Linked DNA regions of Sus scrofa. The protein of the gene in region 1 binds, or shares a complex with, the protein of each later gene. Links are inferred from orthologs where the notes say so. Each region holds a gene or a part of one and is shown in the gene's direction. Other genes may lie near its edges.

Region 1 (6,698 bases):
GGAGTTCCTCCAGCTGACAGCACCAACGGAACGCCTAGCCTGTAGCTGGCACCAGCTTCCAGCGGTGGGAGTGATCTATTTTCCACCCAGCTGAGCCTTCAAGGCCTCCAGCCCCACTCACAGTCTGACTGCAGCCACCTGAGACTCCCTACTGAGAACTGCTAAGGTCAGACAATCCATAGGACCACAAAACAATAAGAAGTTGCTGTTTTAGAATTGTGGTTGCCAAGAGGGAGGGGATGGGCTGGGAGTTTGGGGTTAGCAGATGCAAACTGTTTATGTATATGTATAACCGAATCACTTTGCTGTACACCAGAAACTAATACAGCATTGTAAATCAACTATATGTCAATAAAATCAATTAGAAAGAAGCTGCTGTTTTAAGTCATTAAGGTTTGGAATGGTTTGCAATGCAAGCAATAGAGCAGGACAGACTCATTGACGTGCTGTCTGGAGGAAACCACTATTCACATTTGGTTTTTCTGTATGCACATATTTTTAAACAGATAATTAAAAATATGTACAGAGTTTTTATGAAATTTTTTCAGAGCACACATTTCTTTGCTCTGGTTATTAAGAAAGTGGTACTAGAGACAAGAAAAAGTAGAGAATGAGAAATGGTTGGCTTGGGGATCCCGTTAGCAGACACATACAAAGTGTCCTATATTTGGGTGTTCCATGTATTTCTTAAAAATATGCTCCTGTAGGATAATGTGAGAAAAAGAGTGTATGTATATACATATGACTGGGTCACTTTTCTGTACAGTAGGAATTGACAGAATACGGTAAATCAGGAGTTCCCATCACGGCCCAGTGGAAACGAATCCGACTAGGAACCATGAGGTTGCGGGTTCGGTCCCTGACCTTGTTCAGTGGGTTAAGGATCCGGCATTGCCGTGAGCTGTGGTGTAGGTTGCAGACATGGCTTGGATCCCGAGTTGCTGTGACTCTGGCGTAGGCCGGTGGCTGCAGCTCCTAGCCTGGGAACTCCATATGCCGCAGGTGTGGCCCTCAAGAGACAAAAGACAAAAAACAAACAAACAAAAACCCCCAAAAACAAAAGAACAGAACAACACTGTAAATCAACTATAATGGAAAAATAAAAATAAGTAAAAGATTTAGACATTCAAAAAAAAAAAAAAAAGAAAATATTTTGAAAAAAAAAAAAAATGCTCCTGGGTCTTTGAAAAGTGATTTGGAAGTTACTAGGCACTATGGCCTGAAGTTATGCTTTAGGCCACAGGAGAAGTCCATGAAGGAAGCAGATAGTACAGAACATAAGGCTGTATCTGTGGTTGGGTATTTAGGCTGCTGTTACTTTTCACAGTTAAAAACCACACTGTGGTGAGCGAGCTTGTACAGACACCTTTGACCATTCTCCTCAGCTATGTCGTAGGATACATTCTTAGAAGTGAAAAATTTCTGGGCAAAAGGGTTTGAGGCTTTTTATTTTTATTTTTTTATTTTTAAATTTTTTATAATGATTTAAATTTTTTTCCATTATAGCTGGTTTACAGTATTCTGTCACTTTTCTACTGTACAGCATGGTGACCCAGTCACACATACACGTATACATTCTTTTTTCCTCACATTATCGGGCTCCATCCTAAGTGACCAGACATAGTTCCCTGTGCTACACAGCAGGATCTCATTGCTCATCCATTCCAAAGGCAGTAGTCTGCATCTATGAACCCCAAGTTCCCCATCCATCCCACTCCCTGTCCTGCCCCCTTGGCAACCACAAGTCTGTTCTCCAAGTCCATGATTTTCTTTTCTGTGGAAAGGTTCATTTGTGCCATATATTAAATTCCAGATATAAGTGATATCATATGGTATTTGTCTTTTTCTTTCTGACTTACCTCACTCAATATGAGAGTCTCTAGTTCCGTCCATGTTGCTGCAAATGGGATTATGTTGTTCTTTTTTATGGCTGAGTAGTATTCCATTGTGTATATATATCACATCTTAATTAAAATATAGCTGATTTTTACAATGTTGTGCCAATTTCTACTGTACAGCAAAATGACTCAGCCAGAGGCTTTTTTGTTTGTTTTAAACAAAATAATATTCAGAAGGCATATTCTCTGCATCTGAGTTGTCCTTATTTTATTTATTTATTTATTTATTTTTTAAGGGCTGCACCCTTAAGGGCATATGGAGGTTCCCAGGCTAGGGGTCAGATTGGATCCACAGCTGCCAGCCTACACCACAGCTCAGGGCAACGCTGGATCTGTAACCCACTGATGGAGGCCAAAGATGGAACCCACATCCTCATGGATACTTGTCAGCTTTGTTATACTGTAAGCCACAATGGGAACTCCCGGAGTTGTCCTTATCGATGGCCACACAGGAGGACAGCCCTGGCTGAGAGGGTCTTCTGTTTCCCTGGGCAGGAGGGAGGGATGTTTTGCAAAGTGGGCTTTTCAGGGAGACAGAGGGTAGGACCCCTCTCTCCTGCCTGGACTGTATTCATGTTTAGAACACGTGTTCCATGGAGTTCCCGTCGTGGCTCAGTGGTTAATGGTCCCAACTAGCATCCATGAGGACACACATTCCTTCCCTGGCCTCGCTCCATGGGTTGAGGGTCTGGCGTTGCCGAGAGCTGTGGTGTAGGTTGCAGACGCGGCTCGGATCCCACGTGGCTGTGGCTATGGCGCAGGCCGGCAGCTGTAGCTCCGATTAGACCCCTAGCTTGGGAACTTCCACCTGCTGTGGGTGTGGCCCTAAAAAGACAGAAAGACCAAAATAAAAATAAAAATAAAAATAAAAATAGAACACATGTTCTGGAGGCAGGTCCTAGGTCTAGTCCTTGCCTTTCCTGGGGTTTTGGCCGACTCTAGAAGCAGGTGGGCAAACAAAGACACCTTTGGGATGGCGACCTTGATGGTTGGGGTGGGGAAGCCAGGGAGGCAGGGAGGGAGGCCAGGCTGTGTGCAGCCCCGGGGGAGGACGGTCCAGCAGGGCTGTGGGCTCCCTGAGCCTCCGCCCTCTTCCTCTGAATATCTGACAGACTTTGTGCCTCCTACTTCTCTTTTTAGGGTCCTTCCTGCGTTTGGTGGCTTCCTTGAAGTGGCTCAGTGGGCGCCTGCAGCCTCACGGTTCCTGCTCCCTCCAGCCATGACTCACAGAATCCTTCTGCTGACAGGTGCGCCAGGAGAGGGGCGGGGATGGGGGGAGCTCAGGGTGAGGAGGAGGGAAATTTCTGAATTTGTGAATGGAGAGAAAGGGTCCAGAATATTTAGGAGCTGGACTGGGAAGAGACAAAAGGGATTGGGGGAAAGTTATGGGATGACCAGAGAAGCTTGGTTGAATGACAATTCATAGACTATACAAGGTGTCCCTTCACTCACAGATGAGAAAACTGAGGCCCCAAGTGGTGAAATGACATGTTTAAGGGGGCACAGCAGGTCTTGGAGTGTTGCTTCTTGGGTTCCGCCTCACCACCTCCTATTTGCCTCCTATTTTCTGAGCACCCACGTGTAAGTGTTTGTTGAATGACTGATTGACCAAAATGATTCAAGTTTGATTCCTTTTTTAATCTGTGTTTTGTGGCGTATGAGCCGAAGAAGGGAAAGAAATGCTTGAACGTTGCTTGCATAGGAAGGAACCTGTCTAACTGAGTCTTTAGGAACTTGATGGGCCCATTAGTGGGCTGGGAACCCAAGGTGAAGGTTGGAGGGGTTAAATGCACCTGTTGATGGAAATAATCAATAAGCAGTCTATAATAGGAATAGAAGGAGTTCCTGTTGTGGCTCAGTGGTAAAGAACCGGACTAATATTCACGAGGACGTGGGTTCAATCCTTGGCCTTGCTTAGTGGGTTAAATATCTGGCATTGCCATGAGTTGTCGTGTAGGTCGCAGATACCGCTCAGATCTGGCATTGCTGTGGCTGTGGTGTAGGCCAGAAGCTGTAGCTCTGATTGGACCCCTAGCCTGGGAATTTCCATATGCTACAGGTGTGGCCCTAAAAAGCAGAAAATACCCAAACAAACAAACAAACTATAATAGGAATAGAAAAGAAGTTTTTTTTTTTTTTTTTGAGCCAAACTGAGGACATAGCCTAAGAGGCAGCCCCTCAGAGACCTCTGAGGAACTGTTCCAGAGAAGCAAGATCTTCAGCAGTTTTGTTTTTGTTTGTTTTGTTTTGTTTTGTTTTGTTTTTTAGGGCCGCACCCACGGCACTTGGAAGTTCGCAGGCTAGGGGTCAGATCAGAGCTACAGCTGCTGGGGTACACCACAGCCACAGAAATGGCAGATCCGAGTCATATCTGCGACCTACACCACATCTCATGGCAACACTGGGTCCTTAACCCACTGAGCGAGGCCAAGGATTGAACCCACATCCTGATGGATTCTAGTCGGAGTCATTTCTGCTGCACCAGGAAGGGAACTCCCCTTCAGCACAGTTTTATATCATGTCAGAACAAAGAACATTAAACAAGTCAGGGAGACATTTCTTCAGGATTTCAAAAAAGAAAAAAGAAAACACGAAACAGATCCACAGGTACATAAGTGAGTCAGTATGGCCTTGGCCCTGGGGAAGGGAGTCTTTTTTTTTTTTTTTTTCTTTCTTTCTTTCTTTATTTTTTTGTCATTTTTGGCCACCCTGTGGCATATGGAGTTTCTGGGCCAGGGATCAGATCTGAGCCAGAGTTGTAACCTGTGCTGCAGCTGCGGCTACGCTGGATCCTTAAATTAAGCCTCTGTGCCGGGCCGGGGATTGAACCGTTGTCCCAGCGCTCCCAAGATGCCACCAATCCTGTTGCACCACAGTGGGAACTCCCAGGGAGTTTTATCATTGAAGGAATACCAGCATTTGAGTCCCAGGAAGGGAAGCATTTCATCTTTGTTTTTAACATGGGCACACTGTTCTCTTGGACAATGAACCTTTTTCTTTCATGATTAAAGCAAATGCACAATGTATGTTTGACAGGCTACAAACAGGCTGTTTTAGTGTAAAATTCAAGTTAAATCATGTATAAGCCAGAATGACTTCCCTATACCTCAGTACGGGAAATTTTTTTCCATTACATCCCACGCTGGTGGTGCTTAGGCCAGGAGTTGGCAAGCTGTAGACTGTGGGCATAAGGCCAGGACACAGTGGCATGTGTTTTTGTACAACTTGGAGCCATAGGTCCCAGGTGAACATTTAGAATCTATTCATGACAGGGACACTAATTTTATCCTGGTGGCGTGAAATGTTATCTATCCCAAAGAATTTCGTTGGTCTCATCAGTTAATTTATTTTACAATGGTACTTGAATGTTATATTTTGAGTTTCCTTAATGGAAAAATTTATGGGAAAATATTTCCTCTTTTTTATATTAAGTATCCATGCAAGAGATTCTCTTGGTTCACAAGGCCCGAAATATTTACTCTCTGGTCATTTATACAACACGTGTGGGAGTTCCCTCGGAGGTGAAGTGGGTTAAGGATCTGGTGTTGCCGTAGGCTAGGTTGGAGCTGTGGCTCGGATTTGATCCCTGGCCCCAGCACTCTCATATGGTGTGGCAAAATGAAAGAAAGAAAGGAAGACAGACAGACAGACAGACAGACAGACAGACAGACGTGTGGTGCCCTCTGCTACAGGCTGTAAGGGCTGGCCCTGGAGGCCCCCATCTCCGTGCTGGGTTAGGGTGAATCCTGGCAGGAAGATGCTCGGGGCAGGAGGGCTTTCTTAACTTGTCTCCGTATCTCTTCCTGACTCCCACCCCCTTGTTCTCCTTCCAGCCTTGGCCTTAAGTCATGGGTTCAACCTGGACACGGAAAATGCAGTCGTCTTCCAGGAAAATGCAAATGGCTTCGGGCAGAGCGTGGTCCAGCTGGAGGGGTCGAGGTAAGGGCCTCAGGGGGCACTTCCTGTCCCGCAGGCTTTCCGTACAAGACTTAACATGTCTGAAAACAAAAAACAAAACAAAACAATCTCCTTGATTTGTTTGTTGACTCAGCAGGCTTCTAAGCTCTAAAGATACAAAAGAGTGTAACCACTGTCATGGCGCAGTGGTTAATGAATCCGACTAGGAACCATGGGGTGGCAGGTTCGATCCCTGGCCTTGCTCAGTGGGTTAAGGATCCAGCGTTGCCCTGACCTGTGGTGTGGGCCGCAGATGCGGCTCGGATCCCGAGTTCCTGTGGCTGTGGTGTAGGTCGGCGGCTGCAGCTCCAATTTGACCCCCTAACCTGGGAACCTCCATATGCCGCAGGATTGGCCAAGAAGTGGCAAAAAAGACAAAAAAAAAAAGTGATGGAAAGTCTCCTCCTCACTCCTTTCCCCCAGTTCCCTCCCTGGCAGGGTCCCTGGTAGACAGTTTCTCGTGTGTTCTTTCAGGGAGATTCTTTTTTTTTTTTTTTGTCTTTTGTCTTTTTTTTTTTGTTGTTGTTGTTGTTGCTATTTCTTGGGCCGCTCCTGCGGCATATGGAGGTTCCCAGGCTAGGGGTTGAATTGGAGCCGTAGCCACCGGCCTATGCCAGAGCCACAGCAACGCAAGATCCCAGCCGCGTCTGCAATCTACACCACAGCTCACGGCAACGCCGGATCGTTAACCCACTGAGCAAGGGCAGGGACCGAACCCGCAACCTCATGGTTCCTAGTCGGATTCGTTAACCACTGCGCCACGACGGGAACTCCCCTCTTTCAGGGAGATTCTATGCTGCCGCATAGACCTCCACATTTCCCTAAGCCCCATCCTGCATTCAA
Region 2 (5,929 bases), on another chromosome or scaffold:
GATCAGGTGTTTTGCTTATGCTCATACCTTCCTCCCAAAGAGTCCTAAAAGGAATTTTTGTTTTATCTCATATTGAAAAAGGAGGAAGGCGAAGCTCAGAGAGGATGAAGCACCTTTTCTATGTCACTCCCCTTGTCCTAAGGGGCTGTGCAGCTGGGAGTCTGTTTACAGCTGCGTCCACCACACTCGCCTTACGCTATTCCTCCTGTACGAGAAAGGAACGTTGAGACATGCGTCGAACTGGCTAACCTGACAACTCTTACTTCTCATAGACTAGTTTCTCATTTTTCAGGTTTAACTGACTTTGACCATCTTCTCTTTTTACAGAAATGTTTGCTTCTAAAAGGAGAGATCAGTGAATCACTTAGCACAGTCCTTGATACATAATAAGAATTAAAATGAATAACAGTTCTAGCTCCACAGTTTTCTTTCTCCCTTCTCTTGGTCATTGGTTGATTGAACCATTCAGCTAACACCTATCAAGTTCCTACTCTTACTGAACACTGAAGACAAAGGTAAAATGCCCAGACCATGCAATTAAGGAGATCAGGAATGGACTTAGTTATATCTAGGAGTTAAAGATTTTTCTGGATGTTGATTATTTTTCTTTCCTCCCTTCCAGAAAAAAAGGTGAAGAAGTCTGACTGTGGAGAATGGCAGTGGAGTGTGTGTGTGCCCACCAGTGGGGACTGTGGGCTGGGCACCCGGGAGGGCACCCGGACTGGAGCTGAGTGTAAACAAACCATGAAGACCCAGAGATGTAAGATCCCGTGCAACTGGAAAAAGCAGTTTGGAGGTAAGTCCCACCCCTGCAGTCCTGTTGATGTCATCTTCTACCCTGAGATAATTCTTGCATTCTTCTACCAAATACCTTTTTGAGGTCGATTCTATTTATTTTAACACATTTATTTTCTCAGATGCAGCCTAACCGGGCACTTTGCCTACCCCCAGGTACCTCATTTTCAGTACTACTAGCATGGGAGGGCTCAGATAATTTTTTTGTCCTGGATGGAGGGTTATTCTGTGCACTGTAGGGTATTTAGCTGACTCTCTGGCTTTTACCCATGAGTTTCTGGGAGCATGCCCTCCACCTTACCAACTGCAGCAACTGAAAATATCTCCAGTGTAATCCAGTTATAATGGAAAAAAATAAAAATCATTACACACACACACACACACACACACATATAAAGAAAATTCCTCCAGATAGTGCTGCACATTTCCTGGGGTGAGTGGGGGGTGCAATAGTCCCTGACTGAGGCCACAGGCTTTACCAATAGGGATAGAAATGAACCCTTGATCCCTCTTAACAGTGTTCTCTTTCCTTCTTCTATTTCTAGATTCCTTCTGTCTCCCCTTCCTTTTTTCTTATTTATTCTCCTTCTCCCGATCTCTTTCTGTCACTTGCAGGCCCTCTCTCTCTTTTGCTCTCTCTCCACTTTCCACATGGGTTTGTAGATTCACTTTCCAAACCCAGCAGGGTTGCTGTGAGCCCCTTTTCATAGATTTTTCTCTCACCAAATACTGCCAGTTTCATGCTGACTTCATCTACCTACTTGAGAAGAATCTTTCAACTCCTTCAACTTTAAACCCACCACTGAACACCCAGTTCCTTGATTTTTTCACATGCCTAGTGGGACACGATGCCCCAGATATTCTCCCTGGTCTACAGGAAGGTGCTTTGACCTAGTGACCAATGGAGAAGAATAATGAATAGACACACTATATCTTTTTCATTCTTTATAACTTTGGGGGTTATAACTTTTTATGAGTAGAGGTAAATTCTGTAAAAGGATGGTAAAATTCAGATACATTTAATCTTGAATTGTATATGGATACCCTAAGAATGATATGCAAAATGTCTTAAAAACTGTGTCTTCAAGGTCTTGTGTCTAGAATATATAAGAACTCTCAAAACCAACAATCCAGTTAGAAAGTGGGCAAAAGATAGGAACAAACATTTTACTGAAGGGGATAAATACATGGCAAATAAACATTTGAAAAAGTGTTCAATATCTTTTTCCTATTAGAGAAATTAAAATGAACACCAATGAGCTATCATTCTGTATTACCTATTAGAATGGCTAACATTAGAAATCACATCAGATGCTAGTGAGGATGCAGAGAAACTAGATCATGCATGCATTGGTGATGGGAAGGTACATACAGAAGCCACATTGGAAGAGAGAATGGTAGTTTTTCACAAAACGCAACTTGTATTTACCATACAATGCAGTGGTCTCACTCTAGAGAAATGGAAACTTATGTTCCTATAAAAATCTATACAGCAATGTATATTGCAGCTTTACTTGTCATAGCCAAAATCTGGAAAGAACCCAGATGTCCTTCCACTAGTGAATGGCTAATCAGCTGGGGTACATCTGTACCACAGAGTACTACTGAGCAATAAAAGGAATAGGCTACTGATACACACAACTTGGATGGACGTCCAGGAGATTTTACTGAGGGCAAAGAGCCAGTCTCAAAAGCTTACAAACTATATGATTCCATTTAAGTAACACTCCTTAAATAACAAAATTATAGACATGGAGAACAGATAATTGCCAAGGGCAGAGGAGGTGGGAAAGGAAGAAGGTAGCTAAGCTATGATGTAAGAGGATAACCCACGGGGCCCTTGGGTTAGAACTTGTGTGAATATTAATGGTTGGGTGTTCATATTTATCTGCACACAGAACTAAATGTTCGCACACATATACACACTGAGTGTATGTGAAACTGGGGAGACCTAAGGAACTTCTATGGGATGTGTCCACTCAATTTTCTGGTTGTGCCTTTCGACTGTAGTCACACAGGTTATAACCACTGAGGGAATCTGGGTGCAGGGTATATGGGGATGCTCAGTATCCTTTCTTACAACTGCATGTGAACCTACACTTACCTCACTATAAAAAGTTGAAAACAGAAGTGTGTCTAATTTTTGGCACTCCAAGAGGAATTCAGAGATTTCTGTTTGGTCCTGCCTTCCTGCCTCTAGCGGAGTGCAAATACCAGTTCCAGGCCTGGGGCGAATGTGACCTGAACACGGCCTTGAAGACCAGAACCGGAAGCCTGAAGCGAGCTCTCCACAACGCCGACTGCCAGAAGACAGTCACCATCTCCAAGCCCTGTGGCAAAGTGACTAAGCCCAAACCTCAAGGTAGGCTCTGCCTTTGCACCATGACACTACATGTTTAATGTGGCTGGATTGATGGACTCAGGCAAGACCTTCAGATGTGCAAACTCAAATTTTCCAGAAGGAAATCTTGGGTGAATTTCTTTAAGGAAAGGGATTGAAAAAAAAAATACACTGAGCATTACACAAGTACTTTACAGCAGGCAATTGATGAGTTCAACTTGAAGTGCTCTGCCCAGACTGGGGAACTAGAGCAGTCTTCTAGCACAAATAAACAACTTAGCAAAATAGGCCAATTAAGACAGCTGTATGTTGACAATATATCCAAGTCCTAAATCAGGACTACATCCTGACAAATACGAACAAACTTAGGCAGTTCACAAGGCTGAAAATTCAAAATCGAGTCTTTCTTAGATTATCAACATCTACAGTTTTCAGGAAATCAGTTATTTTATCTCTTTCCTTGTCTACCACATCACTTGATAGGGTCTGTATGTCTATTCCTCCTTTCAAAGTCTTCATATTTGTTTAGTTAGATTAACGTACCAAGTTCATTTGTCTTGGAATTTCAAAATTATGTAGAGCTATCTTTCTATTCATACCCAGAAAATTAGACTCTGCTCTCATGCTGGAGAAAATAAACTACACCAAACGTCATGGCTGTGTTTTCACACAAACAAAATCCCAGCTGAGGGAAGACAAGGAGGTATTACACTCTTAGGTCATGGTTGTGTGAGCCGAGTTACATCCTCCAAATTCAGATGTTCATGCCCTAACTTTCAGTACCACAGAGACTGTACCTGGAGAGAGGGCCTTGAAAGAGGTACCTGGAATTAAATGAAGTCATGTGTGTGGACCCTGATCCCCTATGACTGGCATATAGGACTAGGAGATTAGGACACATAAACACTGAAGGAAGTCTGAAAGCATCCCCTTTACATTTTAGAATGGAGTGTGAAGATGTTGGTAAGGCTGTGACGACTCAGCACTAAATTGAGGAAAGGTGGGAGGACATCCCCCTTGTGGGAAAATTATTGTGATTAGATTATTAATGAGGCTAAAAGATTAACAGACTTGCATAGGGAAAGTGCTTAATATCTAGAATTGCAATCTAAATTTGGGGAAATTAAGTTTTCCAGTTGCTTTGATTAAAAAATTGTCTTTAAATTTATTACACTTCAGTTTAACAGCATTATCTTTTGAGGTAAAGAAAGGGTCCTTCCTATTGCTATGTCAATATTGTACAAACTCTGTACTCTAGCCCTTGTTCACAATTTCAGCGATGCCCGGTACCAGATTGGAGATCCTATCCAAAGTCTCTCTTTTGTTGGAATCCCACTTAATCTGAAGAGAGCTGTTTGTCATCCACTTCTAAATTATATGCTCAGAAGAAGGGAGACTATTGATATTCTTAGGTAGATACAAGAATTGAAAGACGCACAATTGGAATGTAGTTTTCTTTGGGATGGGGATAGATTGCTCTGGGGAAGGTCACTGATTGACTGAAAGATTGTAACTAGAGTTTGCTTAATCATTGCCAGAATGTGGCAGAGATAAATTAGTGAGCAATCATGTTGGGCGCTTGAGATTTTAATTTCTTAGGAAAAGAGATTGAGAGCATTAATTAAAATTCTTAATTAAGAAAATCCTGTATCTGTCAGAGTTTTTTAGCTGCAGCAAGATCTATTCTAGCTAGTGAGGCAGAAAGGGGTTGATTGAAGAATATCATATAGCTTACAGAATCTCCAGAGGGGCCAGAGTATTTGACGTGGATCCAGCAATACTGCAAGAAGGCAACAGATCCAAGAGATGTGTCTAATCACACCATATGTGACTGATATGGCAGAGATACTCTTGCTGAAATTACTCACTGCTCAGCACACTATAAGGCTAAGAACTGGACACTGGAAACTTCATCTCTGTACCCAGACACTCCTACCTCCTTTCTTGCCAAAATAGCCAGTCTCCCCAAATTTGACCTTATTTTCTGCTTGTTCACTTCTACCTCTAAGACTCATTTAAGGGTGCCTGCAGAGTGGAAACTAGGTCACATATAAAATCCTGCCACAAGGGAGTCTGGGAAATGTCTTTAACCTTCTGAATTCTACCTCTAAATATGAGAAGAGAAGCTGAAAGGGATTTGTTTTGGTATTTAGTAAGTGATCTGCCAGGAGCTGGGGAGTATGCAGGAATGTCACGATGTGTTGGACTGCATCTTTACTCCTAGTCCTCTCTCCTTCTGGGCTAGAAGAGGCATTGATGCCATTTCTAGGATAAGAAGTTGCTGAGAGCAATCATATTGGGCCAGTGGAGTATCCCACTGAAGGGTGAGTTAGGTCTCATTAGAGCCACTTTTCATTTTTTGTTGAGTCATTACAGCCTTTACATTAAAAAACAATGCCCAGGGATAACTGCACTGTGAACAATGGGAGAGAAAGTAGGGATCATGGCCAGTCTGGGCAGACAGTGCTATATCAAAAAAGGTCGGAGCAAAGAACCCTATAGAGGGCATAATATAACTCTTCTCCAAGCCACTGCAAGTGTTGCTTAGTGGTCCCCTTGGAGGATGGACTCCCTGTAGAATTAGAAGATGGCTAAGCTGGGTGGGGCCGGCAAGATGGGCTCGTGTGTGGGGGAGCTGTGACCCCATAGGCAGACTGGTCTGTGGGAGCAGGTGCAGCCCAGCAGTAACCATCACCAGAATGCAGAGTCAAAGATGAGGCTGAGGTGGGGGTTTGTGTGAAAGGTTCCTAGAAGAGCTAAGATTTGCCCAGGTGCCACAAATGATATAGCCTA

Evidence for each region.
Region 2: the proteins of ITGAM (region 1) and PTN are in contact, whole or in part, in an NMR structure (PDB 8VOH), measured with the Homo sapiens proteins. The link is inferred for Sus scrofa from reciprocal best matches to the Homo sapiens genes ITGAM and PTN. Residues at the interface, in NP_000623.2 of Homo sapiens: Pro273, Asp276, Arg277, Gly279, Val280, Ile281, Arg282, Tyr283, Lys306, Pro307, Arg309, Asp310, His311, Ala334, Ile335, Glu336, Gly337, Thr338, Gln339; in NP_001308315.1 of Homo sapiens: Val56, Pro57, Thr58, Ser59, Asp61, Cys62, Gly63, Leu64, Thr66, Glu68, Thr79, Lys81, Thr82, Gln83, Arg84.

Annotation. Positions count from the first base shown.
Region 1 is NC_010445.4:17,253,561-17,260,258, reverse strand, and holds the start of ITGAM (integrin alpha-M), read left to right. Parts: upstream 1-2,728; 5' UTR 2,729-2,778; coding exon 2,779-3,145; intron 3,146-4,001; exon of another isoform or gene 4,002-5,731; coding exon 5,732-5,837; exon of another isoform or gene 5,838-5,896; intron 5,897-6,698.
Region 2 is NC_010460.4:12,288,249-12,294,177, forward strand, and holds part of PTN (pleiotrophin precursor), read left to right. Parts: intron 1-622; coding exon 623-796; intron 797-2,995; coding exon 2,996-3,157; intron 3,158-5,929.